Linked DNA regions of Macaca mulatta. The protein of the gene in region 1 purifies or fractionates together with the protein of each later gene. This does not show direct contact. Links are inferred from orthologs where the notes say so. Each region holds a gene or a part of one and is shown on either strand. Other genes may lie near its edges. The genes, in order: FXR1, G3BP1, CEP63, TDRD3 and ORC2.

Region 1 (6,378 bases):
CTCCCACCTGGGCAAAAGAGCAAGATTCTGTCTCAAAAAATAAAAATAAAATTATACTCAGCCCAAGGCCATAAAAATTGCAATGCTATTACAAAGATTAATATATATTTATACAACAGTTAAGAAGCACTTTAATGATGCAAATGAGTCGGAGGTTTCTTTGGGGTAATGGAATGTTCTGAAGGAACACTGTGGTGGTGGTTACACAACTCTGTAAATACACTGTCATTCAACTGTACACTTAAAAAAAGGTTAGTTTTATAGAATATACATTCTACCTCAATAAAACTTTATTTTTCAAGACACCTTAAATGCCCGGTAGTATAAAACCTAAGATGCTACTCTAGGTATGAGAAGTACAAAAGCTATAATGTTATTTTATATAACAGCATAGCCCACCATCAAATGCTTAATTAACATCTTCCCATTCCCTCTCATCCCCACAGATTTTTAGGGCTGCGAACATGCACAAATCAAGTTTCTAATCTCTTTAACTATAGAGCCACTGTTAAATGCAGAACAATGTATTTAGTATGCCATCATTTGTGTACATACTATTTTTTAAAGGCTACCCTAATTTTAGGTAAAATATTCAGATCTTCAGCGTTTCATTGGTTCCAATTAATTTGTGAAATGAAGTTTCAGTTCTATTAGAAAAACTTTAATCAAAGTCTACAGAGCACTGCCTCAAGGTATAACTGACTTTGAAACTAATCAATGGCAATTCATGCTTATAGCCAAATGTGTGTCTTCTGCCTATATGGGGTTAAGAGAAGGGGAAAAGAGGGAAATTCAAATCACCTGTACATTGAAAAACACCGTAAAAAAACAAATACACAAAATGTTAACAGCTCTCATCTCAAGGCAACTTCTAGTTTTTGCTGAGTTCCAAAATTCCCTCAGTGACCATGCATTATCTTCTAAATTGGAAAAAAACTAATTAAAATTAAATTGCTTCTATGCTAAATGGAAGCCGGACTCAAAACACTACACAATATATTGTATAATTCTACATACGTAGTGTTCTGAATAAGAAAAACTATGGGGACAGAAAACACTCTAGAAGCTGGGGTTGAAGAATGGTTGACTGAAAAGGGCATGATGGAAATTTGGGGGCTATGAATCTTGATAAATGCTGACACCACCACAGTTAAGGTGACAGTTAATCTTGATAACTGTCAGCATTTATCAAGATTCATAACCGTACACCAAAAAAGGTTTATTTTATTGTATGTAAATTAACCTCAACTTTTACATTCTAATGATTAAAAAGCAATAAATTTCTGTGCAATAAACCAATGTTTTTCAAGTCAGCAGTTTAATAGGATGAAAAAATACTGGGGATCACGGAACTACTTCATGCCCCTCATGTTAGACAGAGAGATTTGTTCAGGGGTCCATTGTTAGATTATGGTAAGGTGAAGTACAGACCTAGAATTCTCATCTGTTTACTTCAAATCCAGGACTCTTTTCCACTTCTCCATTCTCTTTCTTCCAGAGTTCTGAAGACCAGAGTTTCCACAAAGTGCATGTGCAAGTGGATTATGGCTGGACATAAAATTCCAAGTGTTCAAGCGTACATGGTTTCAGTGCACACACATGTGGCTAGTGTCCTTTCCAACCTTTGCCAAAGTACCAACTCACTTTGTGAGGCAAAATGAGTAATGGAGTCAAAGTCTAAGTAGAAACAAGCAGTAGACTGTAGAGTATGTATAGAGATCAATAATAAATACTTCAGAGTTCCAAAATGGGGACATTTGATTCATTGTGAATTGACTGGAAAAAAAAAATACCGTGAGAAACCAAAGACTGCAAACAATCTTTACTAAAACAAATTATCTTCACCTTATTAAAAAAAGGAAAAAAATCTTGTATAGCACGCTACTGACAAATATACTTTGCTAAAGATAGTTGTCTACCACATGCATGATGCAGAACCATGAATTAAAGCAAAATAATCACTTTATTTTTTCCAATGTGCAAGAAAACATGCATACCTCCCTTACACCAGAACTATATAGCCAAATAGTGAGAATCTAAAACTTTTAGGGAAAGGGGTGGGGGGTGATGCAAAATGACTTATCTACACTTGACAGGAAAAACATGGATAAGTCTTGTCTTTGCGCCGTCTTACCCAGAGAACTGTATCTTCAGTCGTCCAGGGAAAGCAACCACCAGGTTTCAGTAACAACAAAAGTCAATTAAATATGTACTCAAATTTCACCTAGGTCATTGGTCTGACATCAAGTCTTAAACCAAGAACGTTAATGTAACTACTCACGCATTAACATAACGTCTCATTTCCAACAGGCACTGTTCCTACTTTAAGTTTACCACCTAAGGAGATTTAAACTTGCAAAAAGCTTAGGGGGATCCTTTATACGCTGTGATTCCCCATTATGCTAGTACCACGTGACAGTTAAACCAAATCCACAGAGCTAATCAGTAAACTAAGAAAGGAAAAACAAAACCCTGAAAATAGAAAATCATGGCCAAATAAAATAAAAACCCAAGGGATAAAAGGTACCCTGAAATGAAAACCTGTGAGAATTCATTTTGCATACGCACAATACTCATGTATTAGAAGGCGGCCCTTCATAAAAATAGCCAAGACTCTCAAACATTTGAGATGCTGGCTTAGTGAGATTGACTGACAGACAACAGCTGGGGAGGTTCTGTATTGATCTTGTAACGGCCTGGCATATTTCGGGAAAATAAGGAGAAAAGAATGCTATAGCAGCAAAAAATAAACATTAGGATTTCATTTTCAGATATGTGAACGCTGAACGCCCCACCAAATTCCTCTACTCTATTCCTCTTACGTTTTTCAGCCCCGATTCCATAGTAATGCATGCCCTTCCTCCCCAAGCAAACAAACAAAAAAACCTCGTGGGGGAAAAACAAAACAAAACAATACCTCCCTCCAAAAACAGGGGCAGTGATATAAAGAAATTAGTCACCTCTCCACCTATCTCCCTGATCCATTTCGCATTTTAAATCTTACTTTAAAGCACACAACTCTCCTTTTATTCCGTAATAGAGGGGCTAAGGCGCCGCCCAATTTCCCAGGCCGCAAAAATATTCCAACCCGCCACAATTCAAGGTTTTCTGCTTTTCTGTCTTCGATCCTAACCCTCAATCCGGTACCCTCATTCTCCTCAGGCACTAAAGATTTGTTGGCCCAAAACTCAAATACAAGGGTGAATTCCAAAGATTCCGCGATACACCCGCCCCAGGGGGTGGGGAGGGGTCGGAGGAGCGGGTTGAGGAGCTCCCGCCCGGCCCAGTTCGAGGGGCGGGGGAGCGGGTGTGACCACACAATCCCACCGCCTCCTTTCACGACTCCCCCACCTCCCAGAGCTCCGGCCTGCTCCGAGGGAGCTCACGCCGCCCAGCAGCCACTGAGCTGCTTCCCACCGGCCCGCCAAGAACCGTACTAGCAACCAAGAAGGCTCATAACTAGGAAAATGCAAAAGGCGTCCGACGTGTTGTTTCAAAACATAACGGAGCCCCGGCCCCCGAGACCGTTAAACCGCGGGTGGAGGGGGGAGAAGCAAGGAATCTAGCGGCCTCGAGCTTTGGCCTGGCCTCCTTTCCAATCCAAACCTCACTTTCTGGGACCACCAACCCTCCCTCAAACGCGCTCCAGCCCCCAGAATACTAGACAAAGTGGCAAAACCGTCAGTACCTTGTAGAAAGCCCCGTTGGAGCCGCGAACCTCCACCGTCAGCTCCGCCATGTTGGAACCGCAAAGGCCGCTGGGAAGAGATTCTAGAAACTTTCCAACCAGAGGGGAGGAGGGGGGAGGGGCGAGAAGGAGGCGGGGAAAGGGGAGGGGAAAACAGGGCGGGGATTTGGATCCCCCGCCCCTCACCCCTGGGGTCTCAACGTGCCGCCCCGACTCTCCAGGTGGGATCGCTGCGCACCCTGCATCACTGGCCTTGAGCTCCGCCCGCCGCCGTCTACGTCGGATTTGCTTCCCGACACAATCGCCCGACCTTTGTTGACCCGCCCCTAGGTCCCCGCCCCACAGTGCCCGCTGTTCGCACCGCGGCGGCCGAGTAGTGCCTCCAGCTGCCACTGCCCAGGCACAGCCTGTCGGGCACATCGGCATTCCCCAGCCCTCCGGCATCCTGACCTTAAATTTCTGGAAGTGCTGGCTGCCCTGGAATGGCTTTATCATACACTTTTTGGGCTCCAGTTGCCCTGGGGAAGAGGGACGCCTACAAAATAGACATACTATTGTGCCCCAAGTTTTTTAGCCCCGCTCTTTCTTTAAAAAAAAGTTGGGCCTTCTCTTGACTCAAATTCCACAGTTCCACATCCACTCAAACAATTTGGTCTAGCCCTCTCCCCACCTGTTACCACTTTAGCTATTTAAAAGTCAAACTGAGTATTTTCAGTGCAAGTCAACTGTGTTCCCACCCTAGAATAGAGTTTAGGTGAATTCGCCTTATTAAAAGTAGTCAGACAAACAATAGAGCAGGAGACCACGTTTTCCTCTGCTAAATGTATGCAGAGTTCCACAAATAGGATCAAAGCAGAACCATCTCCAGTTTTGTAAGCATAACAAATACTTTGGGTATGGATTTTAACAACTTAATACTGAAGCTTCTTCCCTAAGCAAGGGCTTTGGAAATAATACTATAAGTGTTTCTCGTTATACTTACATTATTACCATTTTCGCAAAAAAAGTTAGGAAAGGATACTTTGCTAACATTCTGTAATTCCCATGAAATGCCCACTGACCCAGTTTTTCAGATTCTAAAAAAAAAAATGTACATAAATTTTATGAGCACGTCTGCATCTCTGAAGATTCTGGGGGAAAATGAGGGCTGTGAAAGTGCTCGCTGTTGTCATGTACAGGATATTCTCTTTATTTATTTAGAGACAGGTTCTCGCTCTGTTACCAAGATGCAATGCAGTGGTGTGATAAACGTTGCAGCCTGGACTTCCCAGGCTCAGGTGATTCTCCCACGTGGGCCTCCCAAGTGGCTGGGACTACAATATTTATTGATTTGATTTGATTTGATTTATTATGTTTTTTTAGACAGAGTCTCGCTCTATCGCCCAGGCTGGAGTGCAGTGGTGTGATCTCGGCTCATTGCAACCTCTGCCTCCTGGGTTCAAGTGATTCTCCTGCCTCAACCTCCTAAATAGTTGGGATTACAGGCGCACACCACCACGCCCAGCTAATTTTTGTGTGTTTTTAGTAGAAACGGGGTTTCACCATGCTGGCCAGGCTGGTCTCAAACTCCTGACCTCGTGATCTACCCGCCTCTGGATTACAGGCATGAGCTGCCGTGCCCAACCTATTTATTCACTCCCAGCCTTTTTTTTTTTTTTTCCTTTTTTTTTAAGACGAGATCTCTATCACCGAGGCCGAAGTGCAGTGACACAATCATAGCTCACTGTAACCCTGAACTCTTGGCCATCCCACAGTGGGCTGGGATGTTCTTTTTAAAGTGTTGATCACAATGAGAAAAATGTAAACAAACTAAATGCCCATCAATGAGTAATAGCCACGATTTATTAAGGGCGTCTTATGCTAACACTTTATATCGTATCTCATGATCCTTCAGAATTATAATGTCCTATTTACTTTTTTAAAACATTTTCTTTAGATATAATTCTCCCATTTATAGTGTACAATTCAGTAGTTTTTAGTATATTCACAGATTTGTGCAACCATCACCACAGTCAATTTTAGAACATTTTCATCACTGCAAAAATAACCCCATACCTGTTAGCAATCGCTCTAGATGTAACCCCAACTCCCCAGGCCCTAGGAAATCACTAACCTGTTTTCTACCTGTATAGATTTGCCTAGTCTAGATATTTAATATAAATGAAATTGCAGAATATGTGGTGTTTTATGACTGGCTTTTTTTTTTTTTTTTTTTTGAGACAGAGTCTTGCTCTGTTGCCCAAGCTGGAGTGCAGTGGCTTGATCTCCGCTCACCACAACCTCCACCTCCTGAACTGAAGCGATCCTCCCACCTCAGCCCCCAAGTAGGTGGGAGTACAGACATGACCTAATCTTTGCATTTTTTATAGAGACGTGGTTTTACCATGTTGCCCAGGCTAGTCTCCAACTCCGAAGCTCAAACCATCCACTGCCTCCACGTCAGCCTCCCAGAGTGCTAGGATTACAAACGTAAGCCACTGCACCTGGCCTATATGTAATTGGCTTCTTTCATTTAGTATAATGTTTTATAGTTTCATCCATGTTGTAGAATGTATTACGACTCATTCTTTTTTGTCAAATATACTGTTGTATGGATATGCCACATCATTTTATTTATTAATTAATCAATTGATAGACATTTGCATTGTTTCTACTTTTTAGCTGTTTGGAATAATGCTGCTATGAAAATT
Region 2 (5,004 bases), on another chromosome or scaffold:
ATTAACACACAAAAAAAGTAAAATTATACAAACTTAAGCAGTTTATAACAGACTGGGGTCATACTCCAAGATACCAAAGGCTGGTCGAAGATTTCACCATTCTGTTGGAACTAGGGTTTGTATGACTGCGTGAAGATCCATGAAGATTCACTGCCGTGGCGCAAGCCCCCTTCCCACTCCAAATCCTGGTTTCTGCACCATGCCTCCACGGGGAGGGCCTCTCATTCCACCACCCAGCCCACCTCGAGGGCCTCCAGGTCCCCGAAGGCGATTATCTCGTCGGTCGCCTTCCCTGGCAGCTCGAGTCTTCTTCTCTTCGACATTCAGACGGACCTCACCTCTGAACATGATAGGCTGTAAGAATCAAGGTGACCAGACTTAAGAGTAGTGATGAGCTATCACTATCAAAGAAAGCTATAATAATGAACCAGCAGAGGCTGGGCAATGGCTCATGCCTGTAATCCCAGCACTTTGGGAGGCTGAGGCAAGTGGATCACGAGGTCAGGAGTTCAAGACCAGCCTGACCAACATGGTGAAATACCATCTCTACTAAAAAAATACAAAAATTAGCCAGGCATGATGGCACACGCCTGTAGTCCCAGCTACTCAGGAGGCTGAGGCAGGAGAATCACTTGAATCTGGGAGGCAGAGGTTGCAGTGAGCCAAGATCGCACCATTGCACTCCAGTCTGGGAAACAGAGCAAGACACCGTCTCAGAAAAAAAAAAGAACCAGCAGATTATAAATCAGCTAAATTCTCACAGTTCAGTTTTTTGTTTGTTTGTTTTTTTAATGCGACAGAGTTTCACTCGTCACCCAGACTGGAGTGTAATGGCACGATCTTGGCTCACCGCAACTTCTGCCTCCCAGGTTCAAGCGATTTTCCCTGCCCCAGCCTCCAGAGTAGCTGGGATTAGAGGCGCCCACCACCACACCTGGCTAATTTTTGTATTTTTAGTAGAGACAGGGCTTTGCCATGTTGGCTAGGCTGGTCTCAAACTCCTGACCTCAAGTGATCCGCCCGCCTCAGCCTCCCAAAGTGCTGGGATTACAACAGTTCAGTTTTTAACTGAGAACATACAATTTACCATTAACAAATACCTGGAAAGGTGATTAGGTAGGCAGGCCAGTTTTAAAAAGCCATTTTAAATAGCACAGCAGCACAAGTTAACTCTCATCGTACTTATTTTTTCTCATATAATTATGTAAATTGAATAAAGAATTGCCACCTTCTCCATAGATTTGGAGGCTTAGAATAAAACCTCATCACCGCCAATGCGAAAAGATGGTACTGTACATATTTATGCAAAGTACGTATATATTTAAAATAAAAACTTCATTAATCTGACATAAACTTTAACTTGTTCTTCACCTCCTGAGAAGTTTGGATAGTCTTGGGCTTCATTTGCTAACAGAGCCAAAGTTACCAAACATTTCAATATATTCAATTATGCTCTTCACCAGCAATATAATTTTCTAATTTCTTAAAATAAGCATCTAACAGTACTTACTATGTGTCAGGGAAGTGTTCTATTCAAATTTATTAACTCACTTAACCTTTACAACAACCCTCTGAAGGTAGATACTTACTTTAAGGACTAGCAAACTAAGGACTGGGGAGGTTAAGTAACTTGTCCCATGGGTCACAACACTAATGAGTGATGAAAGGAGAATGTAAATCAAGGCCTCCAAACTGGGAAAAATAAGCTTTGAACCACTAATGTACACTACAGTATGTCATACACCAGGGCAGTCAGTCTTACATAAGCTACTTCTGCTCACACAAAAAATTACTGAAGGAAGCATAGTAGACTTCTATCAATATCATGAAATGAAGGGTGGCCACTAGGCCTAACAATGTGCTGAATGATGGATTTATCTACAAAGCCTACTGGACATTTCTGAGTTCTTCAGTGGCTTTGGTGAGATGAACCACTGTTCTCTCATTTCTCAAACAGTATTTTGCAGGAGATGCTTCACAAAAATATGTGGTAAAATAATTTGAAAGATAATGTATATGTGCATACTCAGGTTGACATAATGTTAGGACCACAACACTAAACTATGCAGTATGGCCAGGTGCACTGGCTCACACCTATAATCCCAGCACTTTTAGGGAGGCCAAGGTCAGTGGATCACCTGAGGTCAGGAGTTCGAGACCAGCCTGGCCAACATGGGGAAACCCCGTGTCTACTAAAAATACAAAAAAATCAGCTGGGCATGGTGAGGGGCACCTGTAATCCCAGCTACTCAGGAGGCTGAGGCAGGAGAACTGCTTGAACCTGGGAGGTGGAGGTTGCAGTGAGCCGAGATCACACCATTGTACCCCAACCTGGGCAGCAGAGCGAGACTCTGTCTCAAACAAACAAAAAAACCCTTGCAGTATGCCCATTAGCATTCTAGAGAATATCACTGATCTGCAATATTTCTATTACATGGTTTAAAGTACACAATTTTAATCCACAGGGACAGAAAGCGGATTAGTGGCTGCAAGGGGTTGGGGAGACAGGTACAAGGAATGACTGCTTAGTGAGTAAAGAGCTTATGGCTTTTAGTAAAAAACTTTTGGAATTAAAGGTAATGGTTGCACAATATGTGTTCTAAATGCAATTAAGTTGTACATTTTTAAATGGTTAATAGTGTTATGTAAATTTCACCTCAATAAAAAAGTATAGCTTAGTAAATTAATATTATTTATACCCTTGTTCTTCTCCACTACTACAAAAAGCAGTTTTTTGCTAGGGGAGGGGAAGCTTTCTCTGGGGCTACCACAGTAAGATTTCCATTCTACAAATTCTTCTATTATTAGAATTTACAGGGTAAGAGTACTGTTAGTAAGGGTGGTTCCAAGTAGTCTGACTATATAATTTATCTTCCAAACCCAATTTATTGACTTATAGGAGAAGTTCTTAATAGTTAGTCTCTACAAAACAGCAGTACCCCAAAACAGCCCTGGGCAAACTGGCTCTTATCTAATAGTTAAAAGTAGGTTTGTATTTCACCTCCTGTACACCAAAAGCCAATACCAAGGAAAGGTAGTTACGTAAATCTCAGTGCACTGATAACTATTCATTTTCTCATTCTCACAATTCATGTTTTCAAAAACTAAGTTATTTAAACATAAGTTTCATTTTTCTAAACCCCCAGGCAGGTCTTTTAACAATAGTTGAAAATAATGGAATAAATTACCTGAATATGTTGGAATAAACTGCACTTTACATAAAGACCCAGCTGTAAAGATAAATATATTCTAAAGAACCAAAACCTTTAAAAAAAAAAAAAAAAAAAATCAAGATGAAAAGCTGCTTACCCTGTTGCTAAGGACCTTCTGAACAGGCTCAGAATCATCAAACACAACAAAACCAAAATTGGGTAATTTCCCACCACTGTTAATGCGCAACTCCACCACGTTCCCATAATCTGCAAGTGAAACAGATTCTCAGATAACTACTTAGACCATTCCCTTTAAACATTCCATGTACACAGTCCAATACAGTAGCCACTGGATGCATGTGACTACTGAGCACTTGAAATATAAATACAGCTGGTCTGAATTGAGATGTGCCTCTCATAAGTGTAAAATTATGGGAGGCACATTTGGATTTCAAAGATTTATTATGAAAAAGTGTAAAATATCTCTCACAATATTCTTACATGTTGAAATGACAATGCCTTAAGAGTTAAATGTTATTAAAATTATCCAGTTTCTTTTTACCTTTTTTTTTCTTTTTACCATGACTACTAAAAAATTTATAATTACGTATGTGGCTCATTTTCTATTTCTACTGTACAGTGCTAGAGAGACACTAGATGAATTTAGTGTTCAAAACTCAATAACCTACTTTGAAAGAAATCTTTAAGCTCTGATTTGTCCACTTCATGAGGCAGGTTGCCAATGAAGAGTTGGTGACTGTCAGGGTGTCTCACCATTCTTCGGGGTTCAATGTCACCTTGCTCACCAGCCTCACGGACTTAAAAGGAGACAAAAACATCAATTAAAGGTAAGAGAAAGAAGACATCTTTCAGTGACTGCTCACATTCAATAGTTTTCCCTCTACCGTAAAAACAGGCAATTCCATCAACCCTACAATATTTTTATTTTAAAGTATATAAATATCAACTGCCCTCCCAAAATAAGCTCTCACCTCAAAATCCCCCAAACGAGAAATCGCCCTTCTGAGCTCTTACTTGGTCTGGGTCCCCTTTGGGGAGGAATATTTATTCGCTGTTCTCGCACTCTTTGATCCCTTTGAGGTCTCTGTGGTGGAATCTGAGATTCAGGCTTAGACTCTGGACGGGGCTGAAAAATTTTAAGTTAACTTTTGTGTTAAAACAAAGCAGGCTTATCCTTTTTCTTAATGAAGTTTCTTAGCTAACAAGTTTTAAACTAGAAAATGGACAATTCCCTAACAAGAAAAATCATTAAAAACCACCTTATACCCTTCTCTTCTGTCTTATATATCAGTTTTGTTTCTACATTGATTTGGGTTGTTTTTTTTTTTTTTTTTTTTGAGCCAGAGTCTCACTGTGTTGCCCATGATGCAGTCCAGTGGCACAATCATGACTCACTGCAGCCTCAACCTCCTGAACTCAAGCAATCCTCCCACCTCAGCTTCCTAATTAACTAGGACTACAAATGCATGCCACAAGGCCCGGCTAATTTCTTATTTTTTGTAGAGACAGGGTCTCACTATGTTGCCTGAATTGGTTTCAAACTGGTAGGCTCCAGTGATCAGCTGGCTTCAGCCTCCTAAAGTGCTGGGATTGCAGGCATGAGCCACACTGCACCTGACCAGTTTTCACACTCTCTAAACCTCTGTTGAATCAAATTACCAAAATATAAGTACACTTGCCTAATGTACAAGTTTTATTAAGACCTTACCTGTGAAGCTGGTACTTTAACAACATGAGGTGGTATCCCAGTAACTGGAACAGCTCCACTGGGTGGAAGGTTCTTACTGGTCACAGATGCCCAAGAAAACGTCTAAGGGAGCAATACCAACAT
Region 3 (5,706 bases), about 55 Mb from region 1:
AAATAAATATAACATGTAAATCAAATGCATCTTACAAAATTTTCCACATGGAATTTTCATTAGGCTAAGTCATATTCTTCATTTATATATAAACATATATAAATATACATATATATATGGACTTTCTAAAAAGATTTATAAGGTGTTATTAAGCTGAATGAACATGAATGGGATGAAGATATCATTCTAATAGGATAAATCAGGTGATAAAGCAGCAAAGTTTCAATTCACTGGTAAATCCCTTAAATCCCTACCCATTCTCCTGTGTTGGACTCCTCCAACTTGGCTTCTACCTGCAACGTCACATGGAATTGTACTTTATTCACAAAATAATAACTTATTTTCAGTTCTCATTCCCCTTAGCTTTTGTGCTTAACCATTCCCATTTGAAAATATTCCTTCTGGCCGGGCGCGGTGGCTCACCCAGCACTTTGGGAGGCCGAGATGGGCGGATCACAAGGTCAGGAGATCGAGACCATCCTGGCTAACACGGTGAAACCCCGTCTCTACTAAAAATACAAAAAAAAAAATTAGCCGGGAGTGGTGGCAGGCGCCTGTAGTACCAGCTACTCGGGAGGCTGAGGCAGGAGAATGGCGTGAACCCAGGAGGCGGAGCTCGCAGTGAGCCGAGATCGCGCCACTGCACTCCAGCCTGGGCAACAGAGTGAGACTCCGTCTCAAAAAAAAAAAAAAAAAGAAAATATTCCTTCTTTCCTTGGCTTGGCAAAAACTATCTGATTTTCCTCCTCACTGCTCCCTTTTTTTAAGCTTCATTCCAACATCTTTTACACGCTAAATGAGAAGTATCCTAAGTTTGGTTTCAGTCACTTCTCTTTTTATGCTATGCTTTCTCACTATAATCATTAAGTCTCTCAGGGGGTTTCAAATGTCACCATGAAGAAAGGACAGCCACAGCTAAATACCTAATCCTGATTTTAATCTTTAACTCCAGGCCTTCTGTGGAAATGACTATTATCCACACAAAATTCCAGCCTTTATTCCAAACAAATGTGTTAAACCAAAGTCCTCTCCACCAGTTTCCCCAGTCTGTGTACTTTTCACACAAATTCATTATCCTTCGCCAAACTAGATCCCTGTCTTTTCTCTATTTAATTAAAGAGCATCACTTTCCATCAGTTGCCTAAGCTTAAATCCTGTGGAACACCATTTCTTAACTCTGCCTACCTCACCCTCCCTGCCAATCAAATACAATGCCCAGTCATTTTTACCAGCCCAGTATCTCCAGAATTCATCCATTTATCTCTCCCTCCCTTACCCACTGCTCAGGCCACCATCTTACCACTGTAACAGCATCTGGGTGCTCTGTCTCCCTGTTTATTCTCCATTTAAAGACCACTGAATTTTACTCCTGCTTGTGGCCACTGCCTACTGACCTCAAGGTCACAGTATAACTCCTTTATGTGGCTAACAGAGCCTTTCAGCAGCCAGTCTCTGCTTTCCAGTCTCATACCTTCCACTCATCCCACGTGTACTCTAGTTTCAACCACAGCAAGCGTGTTTCAACCACAGCAAGCGTGTTCTACTATCTCTTAGAGACCTCTGTATTTTCCTGTGCCTGAAATACTTTTCCTTCCCCTCACCCAGCTCGCTCCTAACTTAGCTTTGCTATCACACCTTCTGGAAGGCCTTTGCAGCGAGTGGTCTAGATTCAGGCTGCTTGTGATCTCTAGTGACTCTCATCATACACCACTGATATAGTCACTTTACTTGTCTGTGTCTACTCTCACCTCTGCACCACCCTCACTAAACTCTCTGTTAACCAGCATACCCTCAGCTCAAAGCAGGTATCTAATAAAAATTCACTGAATTAAATATTATGAAAATTATGTCTTTAATCAATTCCATCTTTAAAACAAATTTCAAATTTAAAAAAGTTTTTGTTCAGGCTTCACCTTATGCTCTACTGCTTTTTCTTCTGCCTTTTGAATCTCTGCTTTGAGTCGCTTTTCCATGTCTGAGGAAGAACCTTTGGTGGAAGCAATAGAGATATCTCGCTGATGTAACTCCTGAGTTAGATGGGAGATTTCCATCTTCATTCCTTCTAGTGCAGAACTGTAACTTTGTTCACCCTGTAAAATCTGTTCTTTCAACTATAAAGAAAGCAGAAAAGAAAGCACCAAAAGAGAAAGCATTTAGATAGAATAATATGTTACCAGCTAATAAAATAAAAGCTTACCTTATCTCAAGACATTAAATTTCTCCTGAATTAAATCTGCAGAAAAATTAGCAATTTACCAAGTTGCATATCTGTACTGAAGGTCAGGTGGTTATACCTACAATCATTTATTATACCTCAAAACAGGGAGAGATGGGTTATTCAAGTGCTGAGGACCACAATCAAGGTCCATGCACACTATTTAGAGGACAGTACTTGTGACCTTCATTCTTTTTTTTAGTTGTGAATCTAAAAGTTTTGCTCATATGGTATCTTGGTCCACAGGATAACAAACAGAAAGAACAAGAGGAAGAAACAAGCGAGAAGTAATCTTCAAGAAGTAACAAAAAATACAAAACAACAAATAGGACAGTTAGGACCCACTCATATAGACACAAACAGCTCTGCATACCTCAATAGCTGACAAGGATACCAACCACATCACAGCACAGGAGACAATCCATAAATACTATGTTTAGGCAATAAGAAAATATTAAATGACAGTTCATATTTTTTTGCAAACACTAAGTGTATGTCTTTTAGAAAACTTTTCATTAAAACATGTTTAAAATAAAGTTTTTAAGTTCAAAGGGAACAGCCTTCAATTATCTTAAAAATATTTATTGGGCATCGGGGGGATGCCAGAGAAAGAAGGCACTTTCCCTATGCACATTCCACGTACTCTTCCACTCCTAAATATCAAGTGGCCCCTTGAACTACATTTTTCTCTCATTAAAAATAACCCCTATAATCTCCAAACCCACAGCTCAGTCCATAAACACATACAATTTTGCAATCCTAGGTATGCATATTTTTACCTTCTTAATCTCTGCTCTGTATTCATTGTTATGTGCTTCCATCCTCTTTAATTCTTCGTATTTTTCCATTAGTTCTTGACTCAGCTGTTTACATGTTGCACTCACAGATTCCAAACTGTATGACAAAAATAAGATCCCATATTTAAAACAAAACCAAAATCCCGAAACCTATAAATTGGACTATATAATTTACATTCTTGATGTCCAAAAAATATTCAGCCAATATCTTAAACATCACATCACTCATTTAAATATTACTAAAAAGCCAATCAATAAAAAAACTGTGATAAAAATGTAAATTGTTGTCCCAATGTCAAAAATAATAAACTTAATTTTAGTCAAATGGAAGAGTACACATATACTTCAATGATAACAAAGATTATCTCAAGTACTCCAAGTATTCCAAAAGGAATAAAGCAGAAAATATGTGTGTGTATGTATGTTTGTGCATTTAACATGTAGATAAAAGAAAATACTTACTGGTTTCCAAAACCAGAAATAAATGTAAAAACAAAAAATGTATTACTTAAAGATAACTTAAAAAGTGTAAAATGATATTTCTCTTGTTGTTTGCCTAAAGGTTAACAGTTCATGTTAAAAGTAATTTTATCTTTTACATACAGAAAATGCCAGTGTACAAATGATAATGAGTCATGTGTTTAAAACAAAATATCACACTCTTCCCAATCCAAAAGTTGAGAGGTATGAAAAACCAAAAAAAAAATTATAAGTACGACAATGACAAGAGTTTAGGTAGGTATGGTATAGCATTAGTCAGGATTCAATTAACACCCAAGGAAGTAACACCACCACAGCAGAACAAAAAGGAGGATCACCGTGTGTCAACTGTTACCCCTTCCTACCCTGCTTCCAAGGTGGCAGGGAGGACAACCTAAGTGAAGGGCTGCTAAACAGGTGAAAGGTAAAGAAGTAGAGTCAGTATAGACAATTCTTTTGAAGAATTTGGTCTTAAAGAGAAGTACAGAAATGTGGAAGTAACTTGACGGAGATATAGGATTAAGGGATGGTTTTTCCCCCAGATGGGTGACGTTATAGCATATTTTATACCAGTGGATATAATTCAGCGGAGAGAAAGAACTTGATGATGTAGAAAAGAAAGGATATAACTACAGAAAAAGGACACAAGTGGAGTAGTTGGTCTTAGAAGTGCAGAAAGGCACAGGTGTGGGAAGACTGGTAGTTTTGATGACAGAAAGATTAAGAAGTTCTCCTTTAATTGCTGCTGTCTTCTCAATGAAATAAGAACTTAGGGCAGGGCGTGGTGGCTCACACCTGTAATCTCAGCACTTTGGGACGCTGAGGCGGGTAGATCACCTGAGGTCAGGAGTTCAAGACCAGCCTGGCCAACATGGTGAAACCCTGTCTCTACAAAAATACAAAAATTAGCCAGGCGTGGTGGCGCACGCCTGTAATCTCAGCTACTTGGAAGGCTGGGGAGGAAGAATCGCTTGAACCGGGAGGCAGAGGTTGCAGTGAGCCGAGATCGTGCCATTGCACTCCAGCCTGGGTGAAAGAGTGGGACTCCATCTCAAAAAAAAAAAAAAGAAAAGGAAAAAAAAAAGAAACAAGAACTCAGGCAGTTTGTGGATGCTAGAAAAAAATCTTATTTTTTTCACTATGACTACTATATTCATTTACTTTATCAATATGATGATCAAAAATTCATTTTAACAACTTGAAATTTTTGAAATGTGTGTATAATTATGTACCTGCCTTCAAGACGAGTCACCTCTGCCTGCAGAAGTTCCTCACTAGTATGGGTAAAATTCAACTGCGAGAGCACACTGTCTAAGTCCCCCTGCCCTTGAGAGGTGTACTTCTTTTCTGCCAGAGATTCTTCCCGTAGCCTATGGAAAGACATATGATGACTGTTAAGGCCTTTATCTCTGCAAACACAAACAATGCACATCTAGTTTGTGTTTCCCAACCATTTTTGATAAACTCTTTGGAACTCTTCAGTTTGTCTCCTGCTTTATAAAAAGAATATTGGGAGAGGAAAGACAGTCAAGAGATGCTAAAAGTTATAAAAGCAGCAATTTACTCCCTTCTTAACTGGGATTTGGCCTATTTTTCAAGGGAAAAAGACAAAATGACAAAATCACTTCAGTGACACTTGAAACCTTGTACCAAAAAAACTGAAAAGTTACAGGAGAATTCTGGCAAAAATAAAAATGTACACCAGACTTACATCAAGCAAGAGGGTTAGCCCAATGGCTGGCTGCTATTATTGATAAGCAGCTACTAATCACCACCTACTCCACCAAGAAAGTGAGGCCTCCAGGAGACGTGAATGACAATTCCCTGCATGTTTGGATTTTCCCAAAGCATGCAAACTGACCTTGGCTTCTAACTTTCTAAACATGAGAGTCTCTGTTAGGGACCCAAACTGGTGGCAGAAGAAAATTAACCACACAAAATTTTATAACACTTTAAAAACCTAACTCAGAAGTTAAAGCCAATTAAGAAAATCCACAATACGATCAAACATAAAATTATGAATATGCAATATTAAAACCAGTGCTTGGACGGGCGTGGCAGCTCACACCTGTAATCCCAACACTTTGGGAGGCCGAGGTGGGCAGATCACCTGAGGTCAGGAGTTCAAGACCAGCCTAGCCAACATGATGAATGGCCATCTCTAAAAATACAAAATACTAGCCAGGTATGGTGGCGTGCACCTGTAGTCCCAAC
Region 4 (6,381 bases), on another chromosome or scaffold:
CTGGCTAACACGGTGAAACCCAGTCTCGGCGACAGAGCGAAACACCCCTCTCAATTAAAAAAAAAAAAAAAAAACCTTAAATTACATTTTAACAGTCTAGGCCAGAGGAGAATATGCCTCATTGTGGATTTATGTGCCTGCGTCTTCATGTTTAACTTGCTCAAATATCACCTATACGTCCTTTACATTTCTTCTTACATCTAGACCTTAGCATTACTGACATTCTGGGTCAGATCATTCTTTGGAGTTCAGGGATGTCCTGTGCTTTGTAGGATATTTAGCAGTATTCCTGCTGCATCCCATGAGATGCATAACAATACTCCTACCTCCTCAGATTGTGACAACCCAGACATTGCTAAATGGATTTGGGGATGTGGGGGTTAGTTTAGGATCCACTGTCCAGAAGCTTGGTTAAATTCAGGTTAAACAATTTTGGCAAGAATACTTCTTAAGTGATGTGTATGTCTAATTGCATTACATCAGTAGGCAGATTACATTAGAGTGTCCCATTATTAGTGATTCTAGCTTTGATCTCTTAAGGCAGGGTTTTTTTTTTTTTCAAGATAAGGTACATTTTCCCTTCTGTAATAAGTTATGGCTTGATACTTTGAGACCATGTGAAGATCCTGTACTCCTAGTCTTTTACCCTGTGACTTTTAGTATCTTCTGATAAATTTTCCTGAAACAATTGTGGTTGACTTGGAAAATTGTGATTTTTCTAATTCTATCATTTGTTCTGCATTTACTATCTTGTATTCCGCTGAAAGAAAAGGTTTTGTCCTCCTTCCCTTTTATTTTTCGTGGCACTCCGAAGAAATTCAATGTGTTTCATCAATTATTGTCACCATTTTTTGGATGCTCATTTGTCCCACATTTCTCCAGTAAAAATCCCATTCTTGAAGGGAATTTAGTATTTTGTGGAGTATTTTATTATTGTAAGGACCATGCAGTGGTAAATCCTTACTGAATCACATGGCATGTGAGAACAAATGGCTTTATAACCAGTGAGCAATTCTGATGATTGGGACAACTTATCATTTTCATAGTTAACAGGTTACACTAACTGCAAAATGTAAATAATTGGTAAGAGAAAATTCTAACCACCAATAAAAATTATTGGCAATTTATTTTTGAGTCATCTACTTACATTTAAAAAGGCATATCTATTCCTGGTTCCTGGATATGATGGCCGATGACTATAAATTGAAATATACCTGTAGTATACTTATCACCTAAACACTACATACTACGGCACATTGTAGCGAACAGCATGGAGCTACTTCTGATTTAAAATTATCTAAACGATATGCCTGGGAGCAAATCTCAATACATTCCATCTAAGGAAAGCATCGCGATTTTATATCTATGACTTTTGGGAAGACCAAACGGAATATCCCAGCTGAAATGAGAAAAATCTGTATTAAGGAATTTTAGCTCCACCCTGGGCAATTATCCCCTTCCTTCCGTAACTGTCAATTTCCTCCCCAATCCCAAGAGCGCCTCTGCCCAGTTCCGCAGTCTCTGCTCCAAGTCTCTTTTTGATGATGCCCTTAGAAGCAGCAGCGGCAAGCGGCGGAGCTGGGGTTAAGTTCGTAACAGTCTTCTCCCGACCTGGCAGCTGGGGACAGTACCCCTCAAAAGTCTCTTTGCCAGCCCTACTGGACGCCGCAGAAGTGAAAGACCAAGAGGGTGGAGCAATCTTTCAGGGAGCGCCTGTACCCTTCCTCCTGTTCCTCTCTGATTGGCCAGCGTGAGTCACGGACGCCCAATCGCACGGCAGCGTCCGCCGTGCCGCTCGGCGACGGCGCCGCGCATGCCCACTCAGGGACCCACCCCGCGCCCCAGCCCTCTGGAGCGCTGGCGAAGGGCACCGGCGGGGAGGCGGCTGTGGTTGCCGGACGCGGCAGTACAGAGCTAAGGTCTCAGGGCCGCGCTGGGACACGGATAGTCCCAGGGGGAGGGCAACAGGAAAAACAAGCACTGACACAACCGCCCCATTTCCCCATATTCCCTAAGAGCAGGTTTTCTTGGGCTGACCAGTCATTTTCACTGTGGTGTCCGACTTGGGCAACTCGATCTGCCCGTGGGGACTCAAGGCTGAGCTGCATTTTTTCTTTGCGTCCCGGCGGACCAAAAGGCGAGGGGAAGGGAACGAGTCTTTATAAAAAAGTAAACTTTCGTGTAGAATGGGCTGGGGACACCTCCGAGTTTGGCTTCCCGCAACGTGACCTTTTTAGCGCCATCCTGGACGCGCTCCCTCGCAGCCAACCCGTCAGTCTCCTCAGGCCTTATCCTGCCCTCTCTGAGGTGGCCGCCTGTCGGCGCTGCAAACGCCACACTTTTGCTCTACGAAGAACCTCCTCACGACTTTCCAAGGTGTGCAACTCAGAAGAGTGCCCCCCAAAACAAGTAAAAACCTTCGGGGAAGAGGCAAAGTCCCTGAGCTATCCTGACCCTAGCCGCCGGCCCGTGTTTGGTGGATCAGGTCCTGGAGCTCGGCAGCCTGGAAGCCCCACACCAGGCCGGCCCCTACGGCCGCTCAGAAAACGCGGCGAGCGGAACCCGCACGCGGAAGCGCCGGCCGCACTGAGCATGCCCAGTTGCAGAGCCGACCAGAGGAGTTTTTTCTTTTCTTTCTTTTTTTTTTTTGGGGGGGGGGTCTCAAGTAGGAGGCCTCCCCACCACCCCCACCCCAACCCCCCACCACCCCCGGCTTAAGCAGCTACCATGGCCCAGGTGGCCAACGCGGCGTTGTCCCAGGCGGGTTGGTAAGTGGCGAGTCCCGCCGGCTGCCGGGCCGCTGGCGCGGGCCGGGGCCCCGAGGAGCTTGGGTTGGGGGCGGCGGGGTACGTGTCGGGGTAGGCGGAGGCTGCTGTCCGCCCCCGGCCTCTCCCCGGGCCCTCCGGGCCGGCTCCGCCCCCGGCGCCACGCGAGCCCAGCGAGTCCCCCTGTGTCCCCTCGAGGCGGCGGCGGCAGCGGCCTGGGCCTCGGGCGGCGGGCGGCGGGCCTGGGGAGAGGCCGGGGGCCGCGAGCCGGGCGGGTGGCGGCCCAGACCCCGGCCGAGTGGAGCGCCGGAGAGGACCTGCAGCGCCTTCGCGCTGCCGCTCCGGGGAGGGGGTGTTTCTGCGGCGGGACAAGGGGAGGCGAAGGCTGGGAACGAAGTGCGGAGCAGAGGGACCAACGCGGCGGAGCCCGCGGGCCCATAGGAAGTTGAGGGCAGAGCGGCACACAGCCTGCGCTGCGGTCGGAGCCGCCTCTTCTTGCCCCTTATTTCAAAGTATAGTGTGGACCAGTGTGAAGCTGCCCTCCGCGTCACACACACAACTTCTGGAGCTAAGAATGACCGCATTGTCAACTCGTGGGGGGTGCTCGGTAGAACTTTTCTTGAAAGGATGGTGTTCTGAATTTAAGAGGCCTTTCGTGTCAAGATTTTCAGGATTTGAAAACAATACAGAATTATGTGAAGTTAGGCAGTTTCTGGAATTGCGGCCATTACGGTTGTAATCATCCGGTTTAATTCAGTAACGCTTTTCCCAGACTTGCACAGGCACATTCTGGGATGAAGGGTAGGAACGGGGATGAAAAAGATTTGCCTTGGCTCTCTGCAATTACTGCTTTGGAAGAAAGAGTGAGGCATTAAAAGACCAAACAAAACCAGGGGGAATAGTGGTAAACCGTATGTACAGAGTAACAGATGAGTGCACTGTGGAATGGGAGGGAGAGTTAATTTCCTGAAGTGGACTTGGGAAGATGGTAAGGAAAAGGCTTTCTAGCACAGAGCTGCTAGAGACTGGGAAGCGCTTATTGTTTTGCAGAACCTACACAAGATCTGTATGGTTCGTGAAAGATGTGGATTTGATTTTGTGAATAAAGTTTTTGATCAGTGGAGGGATATAATCACAACTGTGTTTTGAAGAAGCCCTTCCTGGTTTTAAAGGCCCTTGTGTTGTTAAACACCCCATTTTACAGGTGAGGAGACTGAGGCAAAGAGCTGTTAAGTAACTTTCCCGAAGTGACATAGCTAGAAAGTGGTGGAGTTGAATGTTGAGCACAGAGGGCCTGGCTCTGGTCCTGGTTCCTTTAACTCTTATGCGTTATTGTTCCTATAGTTTTTTCACAGAACAGCATTGGCGTAAAAGATTGTAGAGTTAAAAACTCACTGGCTTCAGTTTTGTTTTTGTTAAATAGGAATCTCTTCTTTTAGTTTTTTTTACCCACAGGGGTGTCCTGAATTATCTTGGGTCGCTCTTTCATTTGCCTTTCTCCCCATTTATCATTAGATTGAGCGTTGATCCTTCACACTAGTAATATTTTCATTTACAAAGTCAGTATTTTACTACTTTCCAACATGACCCCGCCTCCTCTGGAAAGATTAGTCTCATTTTTTAGGTCCCGAACACATGCTGACTTTGTTTTCTGTGGCCTCTTATGCTCTTCCAGGGCAGGGAACTGAGTCTTATTTTTCTCCTTATCTGGATTGTCAAGAAGTGCACCAGATTGTAGGTTCTTTGTAAAGTCTAATACAGTTGACCTTGGAATGCCCCTGCCAGTCAGAATTCTCCGGACAGGGCCTCTGCAGAAGCTTAGGCAGAGTCCCACCCTGCTTTGTGATATTGTTGTAAATCTTCAGCAATGTTATATTGTAGCATTTGCTACTTTGTATTGCAACTTATCTGTTTATGTTTCTCCCACCTGTCTGTGCTGCTTCTGTGTGGCAGTAACTCATAAAGGCAGTAGTAATCTGTGGGGCTAATAAGACTATCTTTCTAGGAATTGTGAGTTTCATGTAATTCCTGCTAGGTCTTGAACAGACTAGGCATGAGGATCTCCTAGGCTTTCAGGTGGCTTCGACGAAGTCTTTAATTAGGGACTTACTATGTTAAAATTTAGAATCACAAAGGTTTAAAGGCAGAAAAGAGCACTGGAAGGAAAATTTCTGACTGAAGGGCTTTCACTAGCTCATTTTAGTTCTTACATCCTGAGTTTGCTCTTATACTTGGGGTTCTCTGTTACTGTCACTGACAAACCATTTTTCTTCGTATTCAAATGTATGTGCGTAGTTACTTGTAGAAGCTAAAAAGAAACAGATGCTAAAACATGGAAACACTATTGTTAAATCTGTTCTACAGGCTTTACCTAAAATAGCAGATTAGGGAAATATTTAGTGCTGAAAAGTTTACAATTCTGAAAATATGATCTTCAGGGGGGTACAGAAGATCTATGTAGACCAATCTGTTCAAGTTTCCATTATTTTTAAGTGCAATTTTTTTCCTTCTTAAGGTTTTAATCTTCATTAGAACCGCTGTAAAAATCAATATTTTAAAATATAGCTTCAAAAGTAGCTACCTGGCAGACTTAAAATAATTTTTTTTCTTCAATGGCCAGTAGCACACAAACGATTTGCTGATTTGAACTTAAATGTTTCAGGGTTTTCTACAGTATAGTGATTATGTTTAAATAATGCACTAAATGGTACCTTGTAAAGCTTAATTATATGAGTGGAATAACTTCATGGGGAAAAGAAATCTGACTCTGAATTTATCTAGATAACAGTATTACTCACTCTGCATTTTTGTTTTCTCTCTTCAGAGATTCATTCTCCTTTGGGATGATATCCCTGATCACTCTGAGTGGAAATACAAAATTCTACTTGTGGGAGAAAGATTTAAAAGGTTGATCTCTGGACATTTTGAATTTTTCTCTTCCATCTTCATCCTTTGTTTGTTTGTTTTTAACAGAAACATGTCACGGGGTACCTAATCAGTTGTGTTTTTGTTTTTGAAAAGGTATCTTCTGGCTGGGCATGGTGGTGGCTCATGCCTGTAATCCCAGCACTTTGGGAGGCTAAGGCGGGTGGGCAGGAGTTGGAGACCTGCCTGGCAAAAATGGTGAAACCCCATTTCTACTAAAAATACAAAAAAATTAGCCAGGCGTGGTGGCAGTCTCCTGTAATCCCAGCTACTTGGTGAGGCTGAGGCATGAGAATCGCTTGAACCCAGGAGGCGGAAGTTGCAGTGAGTCGAGATTGCACCGTTGCACTCCAGCCTGGGCAACAGAGCAAGACTCTGTCTCAAAAAAAAAAAAAAAAAAAAAAGAGTATCTTCCGTGGAATCAGTGTTGCATAGCTTTAACTCTCTCTTTGTACATATGAGAAAACTGAAGCACAGAGTTTTCAATAATTTGCTCAGTTATAAATGGCAGAACCAAGAATAGAGCCCAGATGTCTAGAGTAAAGATTCAGTACTCATTTCCACCAAAAATTAACAGAAGTGACCACATCTAATTTAAATTATTGATCAAAAGTGACACATTTTAAAATTGAAAATTGGGTTGAAGCATTTTGTGGTGTGTAAATTTACTTTCCTAGTCGAGGAAAGATAA
Region 5 (6,403 bases), on another chromosome or scaffold:
TAATCTGCACAACTCTATGAGGTTCATACTTTGTGTACAAAGATAATAAATACTGGGCTGGGTGCAGTGGCTCATGCCTATAATCTCAGTGCTTTGGGAGGCTGAGGCAGGGGGATCCCTTGAGGCCAGGAGCTGAAGACAAGCCTGGTAACATAGTAAGGCCCTGCCTCTATCAAAACAAAAAAAACAAAAAAAACAAAAAAAAAAAACAATTAGCTGGGAGTGGTGGCATGTGCCTATAGTCTACTTGGAGGCTGAAGTGGGAGGATTCCTTGAGCCCCAGAGTTCGAGATTACATTGAGCTACGATCACATTGCTGCACTCGAGCTTGGACGACAGAGTAAGACCCTGTCTCTAATTTTTTTTTCTTTTTTTTTGAGACAGGGTCTGGGCTCTGCCACCTAGAGCAGTGGTACGCTCTTGGCTCACCACAACTCCGACCTGGGCTCAGGTGATCTGTCCACCTCAGCCTCCCATATAGCTGGGCCTACCGGCTTGTGCCACCACACCCCCGGCTAACTTCTGTGTTTTTTGTAGAAATGAGGTTTCACCATGTTGCCTAGGCTTGTCTCAAACCCCTGGGCTCAAGCGATCTACCTACCTCTACCTCCCAAAGTGCTGGGATGATAGGAGTGAGCCACCACACCAGGTCAAAAAAATTTGTTTAAACAAAAAATAAAAAATTATGGACTTAGCTATGATATGAAGGAAAAATTTTAGAAATAAAAATAAAAAATAAAGATAATAAATACTTCATCTATAACTTATGACCACTGCTTGTAAAACATGTCCTCTTGGGCCTTCTTTCTAGTCATGATACTGCTTCCTATTATGGGGAATCTGGGTATATTAGAGAAAAAGTTTAATCCATTTACATATTTGTATAAAATAAAGAAACAGGTTTTTTGAGGGCACTGTTTGTGAGGCACTGTATTAGGCACATTTATGTACACCAGCTCATTAAATCCTCAGATTCTCTCACATAGGTATTTTGCATCTCTCTCTTTATATGTATAATGTCCCCAATTTACAAATGAGTAGACTGAGGCTAACTCATTAAATATTAATAACTCATTAAATTATTAATGCCAATACACACAATTATAAAGTCTATTAGGGTTGAAATCCAGGTCTGACTCATCCTAACTTCTTCTTTTTTTTTCCTTCTTTTTTTTTTTTTTAAGACAGAGTCTTGCTGTGTCCCAGGCTGGAGTGCAGAGGCTCAATCTCAGCTCACTGCAACCTCCGCCTCCTGGGTTCAAGAGATTCTCCTGCCTCAGCCTCCCGAGTAGCTGGGACTACAGGTGTACACCACCACACCCAGCTAATTTTTGCACTTTTAGTAGAGATGGGGTTTCACCATGTTGGCCAGGATGGTCTCGATCTCTTGACCTCATGATCGGCCCGCCTTGGCCTCCCAAAGTGTTGGGATTACAGGTGTAAGCCACTGTACCTGGCAGATTACTAACTTCCTGACCACTCTATTACACCACATACCTCTCCTGCCATCAAATAAAAATGTTATCCTAAATGCTTGGTTTTTTTTGTTGTTCTGGGTTGTTTTTGTGGGGGTTTTTTTGTTTGTTTTTTGAAACAGGGTCATTCATCTCTGTCACCCAGGCTGGAGTGCAGTGGTGTGATCTCAGCTCACTGCAACACCTCACCTCAGCCTCCTGAGTAGGTGGGACTACAGGTGTGCAATGCCAAGCCTCGCTAATTTTTGTATTTTTTTGTAGAGACGGGGTTTCCCCATGTTGCCCAGGGTGGCCTGAGCTCAAGCGATCTGCCCACCTCAGCCTCCCCAAGTGCTGGGACTGCAGGTGTGAACTACTGTGCTGAATGCTAAATGCTTGTTTTGACCTCTGAAAACCATTCATAATAGGTCTAGTTATTTCTCTACATGTCAGTTAGGGTTAGGGTATTCTATAGCCCGTAACTATAGAATGTCCAAAGAATTCTATAGTTTCTCTAACTTTCCAGTTCATTGGGTGAAACATTACTAGTTCTATCAAGCATACTTCAAAGAGCATGGCCAGAGTCAGCATAATCTACATTATTTTACTTAATTATATGCTGCCATGTACTACAAAGGATTTGAAGCAATGACACGGATCAAATGTGATAAAACAAATTATAAATTATAAATGCTAATAGGGAGTCTACACCAGAAAAAATATAAAGGAAAGCAGAAAATAAAATCACAAAACGAATTTTTGGCTCTGAGCTTCCTGGTAATCAAAGGAAAAAGCAAGTAAAGGTCTGTTACATAATTCTTATTGGCCAAAGTTTAGTTGTTCTTGGGGATGGGGGGGACGAGATTTTCTAGGAAAATTTAAAAACAAATATTCTAGGCAACTGAGTATTGTCCTAGGCAATTTCCCTATGGTATTCTATATAAGAATTGCCTGGACAGAGGCATCCTCAGTCTTGTTTGTAGCCAAATGCATTTATACAAACATTTCCTTTTCTAATTTTGGAGCATCTTACTAAATAGTACAAAATCACCAAATTAAAGAAAATGTCTACAAAGACCTCATGAGAAACGTTTCCTTCTTTCCTTTCCAACAGTTCCTGAAAAACAAACACACAAACAAACAAACAAAAAACCTAACAATCACACAATAAAATGCAATATTTAGTGACCATTATGACCCTTCAAGGCACTGCCTTGGTGCTTACCTGTCAACCCCTTTCAAGGAGTTAACTTCAAAGCAATTCAGCAGCACCAAGTGTTAGCAACACACTCTCCTTTGAAAGCAAATGAAAGATTTGCTGTAATTTTTAAAAACATAATCCTTTGAAAAAGGTTGGAGAGATTAGTGGTTAAGCACCAATTTTAATATCAGAGAAACGTGAGTTCCAATCTCCACTCCATACTTTATAACTGTGTGACTTTGTCCAAAGTCCTGACGATTAAATGAAATCATGTGCCTGATGTATAAAAGAGCATCACTGAATGCTCCCAATTATCGGTAATTTTTTCTTTAACCTTTTTCTTTTTTAGCTCCTTACTGCAGTACACACTGAGATATTTTTACTTTAAACTTCAACTTCACCATGCAGATTTCTTGTACATCTCTAACTCATTCAACATCTAACAGAAAAACTGCTCAATAAGTGATGATGACCGTTTAACGTGCAGTGCCCTTATACAACGGTGTAGGACCGTGCTATTTTTCTTCAGATTACAATTTAACTGGGGGAAAGTGTAACGATTCTATTAGGATTTCAATTGTAAAATGAAAAGTAACGTCTCAACATCTTTTTGATTAAAAAGCTCTACCAAAAGGGCCTGGCTTATCAACATTTTACAGCCAAGCGTGGCTCCAAGGTGACCGATCAGTTAGCAGGACACATGGGTGCCTCCAGGCTGGGATGACATCAAAGGTTCTAGCTACAGTGGTTCTGGGATGCGATCTCTTCCTCTTCATACCTCACAGGGCACTTTACCACTTTCGTTACAGATCTTCACAGTTCTTTTCCAACCAGAGGGCTTCGTAAGCTGGGAATCAGGTATGTTAATATTAGGCGTCCCTTTCACAAAAGGCTTTTAACTGCTGGGCAGACTAACGAAAGGTCCTCCCAGAGCGAGCCTCTCACCTCAAGTATTAAAGGACTTTGGCTTGCGCCTCCAACCTCTGGCCAGTTGGCTGCGCTCCACCAGCAAAGGGTTCTCGAGCCCCCGGGCAGCCTGCGGGGGGCAGAGAGGCGCAGAGACCATGCCCCGAGTGCCGAGGGAAAGCCCTGAGATGCGCGACGTGGGACGCTGGGGGCCAAGCTCCGACGCGGGGCTGTGTGCACCTGGATGCGCCCCACAAGCCGCGAGCTAAGCAGAAAAGGGAGGCAGGCTGCTCCGACACCCCACTACTCACCGCTAGGTTTCCGCCTGGCGCCGATCCGGCCGCCTCACGCCGGCCGAACGACACCCCGCTGAATCGCCGCCGCAGGGAAAGCACCTTCGGCACCAACGGGAGAAGCCAATTTCTAGTAATTCACGCCCGACGACGGCGGAGGTAAGGAGCCCTGCAGGCCAGCTGGGGGATGGGAAACCTGCGTGCGGCACACCGAATCTCCCGCCCTGTTCAGGGGGCGGTGCCCGGGGAAGCCAATAGGAAGAGGAGTCGGCCAAGAGCGACGGCTGTGCCGGCCAGTCGGCGCCGGCCACTCGGCCCCGCCCATCAGGAAACCTGAGGAAAACGGATCCTTAGGCCCTGAGTTGTGGGCCTTATCTTTCCTTTCCTCTTTCCGTTTCCGGGGAAGGGAGAAGGAAGTGTTGTGTGGATGCGAGGAAGTTTGCGGAATAGCTGGCTGAGTGGTGGCTGTGTACTTGGGGTCGGGCGCAGTGGCTCACGCCTCTAATCCCAGCACTTTGGGAGGTCGAGGCGGGCGAATCACCTGAAGTCAGGAGCTCGAGACCAGTCCGACTGACATGGAGAAACCCCGTCTCTAGTGAAAATACAAAATTAGCCGGGCGAGGTGGCGGGCGCCTGTAATCCCAGCTACTCGGGAGGCTGAGGCAGGAGAATCGCTTGAACCCGGGAGGCAGAGGTTGCAGTGAGCCGAGATCGCGCCATTGCACTCCAGCCTGGGCAACAAGAGCGAAACTCCGTCTCAAAAAAAAAAAAAGTGTTCGTTGGTTTCGCCAGGTACCTTTTGAAGAAAAAGGTAATGGAAATTGATTCGTGTTTCTTTTTTAAATATTTTCTTCATTTGGCGTGAAAGGTAGGATCTTGTACATCTCCAGGGTTTGGAGTAGGGAAAAGAGACGTTAGGAGAAGCACTGAATTATGGAGATGGGATCGGACGGCTAGTGGGATGAAGAGGCTGGGGAAATAGAATGAATAGACAGAGTAAATGATTGACTTCAACTATCCAAAATATAAAAAAGACAAGACAGAGAAAATGAGGAAGAAAAGGAATGAACCTGGATGGGATCCATACAGTATTAAGAACAGGGTACTATTTCATTTGGATTCACTGACTCAAAACAAAACAAAACTACAGAGTACTCTGCGAATCAGAAGATAAGGATTCAGTATATAGCGAGACACCTACAATCTCTGCATTCACTATAGTTACCTAGCACTTGAAGATATTGAACGGAAAATATTGAGAAAAATGCTATTATATGGGAAGTGCATTGGAGCACATGGTAGGAGTATCTAATTAAAAGTCCAGAAGGAGTCAGGAACAATTTTCTTGGAGGAAGGGATGTTTAAACTGAAACCTGAGTGTTGAATAGATTTAAAACAGGTCAAGAGGGGTGACATTTTCCAGGTAGAAGGTCCAAATCCGTGTAACAGCTGTGTAAAATGCCAAGCGTTGGGTCTGTTATTATGAAGGGCTTAGTTGGCCGTTAGGGCACTGGTCAGATTTGTATTGAAAGATCTTTGGATAAAGGAGGTAGGATTGGGAGGGAAGATACAGAGTCACGAGATTTGGAAGCTGTTTAGGAAATCCAGTTGAGAAAGAAATGATCGTAGCCTTGATACCTCATTATTCTATTTTGGCTAGGTGGAGTTAAGAAAACAGAAGAGAAAGGCAATTTTTTGTGCATTGTAAATAAAAAGAATTTGGGGAGTGACTAGAGACAGAAGATAAAGAGAACATAGCTTAACAGTTAACAACGATGTGCTTGAAGAGTGTTTAGAAATGTGAAGATGACTATCTAGCCCAGCATACACACCTGTAATCCCAGCTACTTGTGAGGCTGAGAAAAGGAAGATTGTTTGCATCCCAGAATTCCAGGATGCAGCGAGCAGTGATCTTACCTGTGACTAGCCACTGCACTCCAGCCTGGGCAACACATTGAGACCCCATTTCTCAAAAAAGAAAAATTTGAAAAAAAAGATGAAGATCTAGGAATGTTGAATAGATATGTTCTACTTATGTGTCTTTTATATATATATAATTTTTTTTTTTTTTTTGAGATGCGGTCTCCCTCTGCCTGCCCAGGCTGGAGTGCAGTGGCTATATCACAGTTCACTGCAGCCTGGACTATCTATTCTCAACCACACCTCCCACCTCAGCTTCCTGAGTAGCTGTGACTACAGGCGCACGCCACCATGTCCGGCTAACTTTTGTATTTTTTGTAGAGAGGGGGTTTCACCATATTGCCCTGGTTGGTCTCCAACTCCAGAGCTCAAGTGATCCACCCTCCTGGGCTTCCCAAAGTTTTGGTATTACAGGAGTAAGCCACTGCACCTGGCTGTTTTTTAATATTTCTCTGATGTCAGTAAACTCCCCTTCATTCCTCTTCTTTCCACATCTTGAAAAAAGGCTTCTACAGACCACAGAGGCCTTGGTGTGAGTGGTGGGTTTGGATGTAGTTTTTATGGCATATGTGTGGAAAATAGAGGGAAGGAGCTGAGTTTTGCATTTAGATTGATACTAAGATAAAAAC

The links.
Region 2: the proteins of FXR1 (region 1) and G3BP1 purify together in Homo sapiens (affinity purification with mass spectrometry; 3 studies listed by BioGRID and IntAct, with this or other methods). This does not show direct contact. The link is inferred for Macaca mulatta from reciprocal best matches to the Homo sapiens genes FXR1 and G3BP1.
Region 3: the proteins of FXR1 (region 1) and CEP63 purify together in Homo sapiens (co-immunoprecipitation; 3 studies listed by BioGRID and IntAct, with this or other methods). This does not show direct contact. The link is inferred for Macaca mulatta from reciprocal best matches to the Homo sapiens genes FXR1 and CEP63.
Region 4: the proteins of FXR1 (region 1) and TDRD3 purify together in Homo sapiens (affinity purification with mass spectrometry; 3 studies listed by BioGRID and IntAct, with this or other methods). This does not show direct contact. The link is inferred for Macaca mulatta from reciprocal best matches to the Homo sapiens genes FXR1 and TDRD3.
Region 5: the proteins of FXR1 (region 1) and ORC2 purify together in Homo sapiens (affinity purification with mass spectrometry; 4 studies listed by BioGRID and IntAct, with this or other methods). This does not show direct contact. The link is inferred for Macaca mulatta from reciprocal best matches to the Homo sapiens genes FXR1 and ORC2.

The regions. Positions count from the first base shown.
Region 1 is NC_133407.1:92,987,238-92,993,615, reverse strand, and holds the start of FXR1 (RNA-binding protein FXR1), read right to left. Parts: upstream 3,755-6,378; 5' UTR 3,740-3,754; coding exon 3,689-3,739; intron 1-3,688. UniProt on the Homo sapiens protein: mRNA-binding protein that acts as a regulator of mRNAs translation and/or stability, and which is required for various processes, such as neurogenesis, muscle development and spermatogenesis.
Region 2 is NC_133411.1:160,740,925-160,745,928, reverse strand, and holds part of G3BP1 (ras GTPase-activating protein-binding protein 1), read right to left. Parts: intron 4,984-5,004; coding exon 4,882-4,983; intron 4,300-4,881; coding exon 4,188-4,299; intron 3,971-4,187; coding exon 3,842-3,970; intron 3,420-3,841; coding exon 3,310-3,419; intron 355-3,309; coding exon 148-354; 3' UTR 1-147. UniProt on the Homo sapiens protein: Protein involved in various processes, such as stress granule formation and innate immunity. Plays an essential role in stress granule formation.
Region 3 is NC_133407.1:37,591,042-37,596,747, reverse strand, and holds part of CEP63 (centrosomal protein of 63 kDa), read right to left. Parts: intron 4,863-5,706; coding exon 4,725-4,862; intron 3,110-4,724; coding exon 2,995-3,109; intron 2,112-2,994; coding exon 1,914-2,111; intron 1-1,913. UniProt on the Homo sapiens protein: Required for normal spindle assembly.
Region 4 is NC_133422.1:39,862,307-39,868,687, forward strand, and holds the start of TDRD3 (tudor domain-containing protein 3), read left to right. Parts: upstream 1-2,588; 5' UTR 2,589-2,727; coding exon of another isoform or gene 2,728-2,768; intron 2,769-6,381. UniProt on the Homo sapiens protein: Scaffolding protein that specifically recognizes and binds dimethylarginine-containing proteins. Plays a role in the regulation of translation of target mRNAs by binding Arg/Gly-rich motifs (GAR) in dimethylarginine-containing proteins.
Region 5 is NC_133417.1:106,071,865-106,078,267, forward strand, and holds the start of ORC2 (origin recognition complex subunit 2), read right to left. Parts: upstream 4,044-6,403; 5' UTR 3,873-4,043; intron 2,749-3,872; 5' UTR 2,680-2,748; intron 1,532-2,679; exon of another isoform or gene 1,189-1,531; intron 1-1,188. UniProt on the Homo sapiens protein: Component of the origin recognition complex (ORC) that binds origins of replication. DNA-binding is ATP-dependent. The specific DNA sequences that define origins of replication have not been identified yet.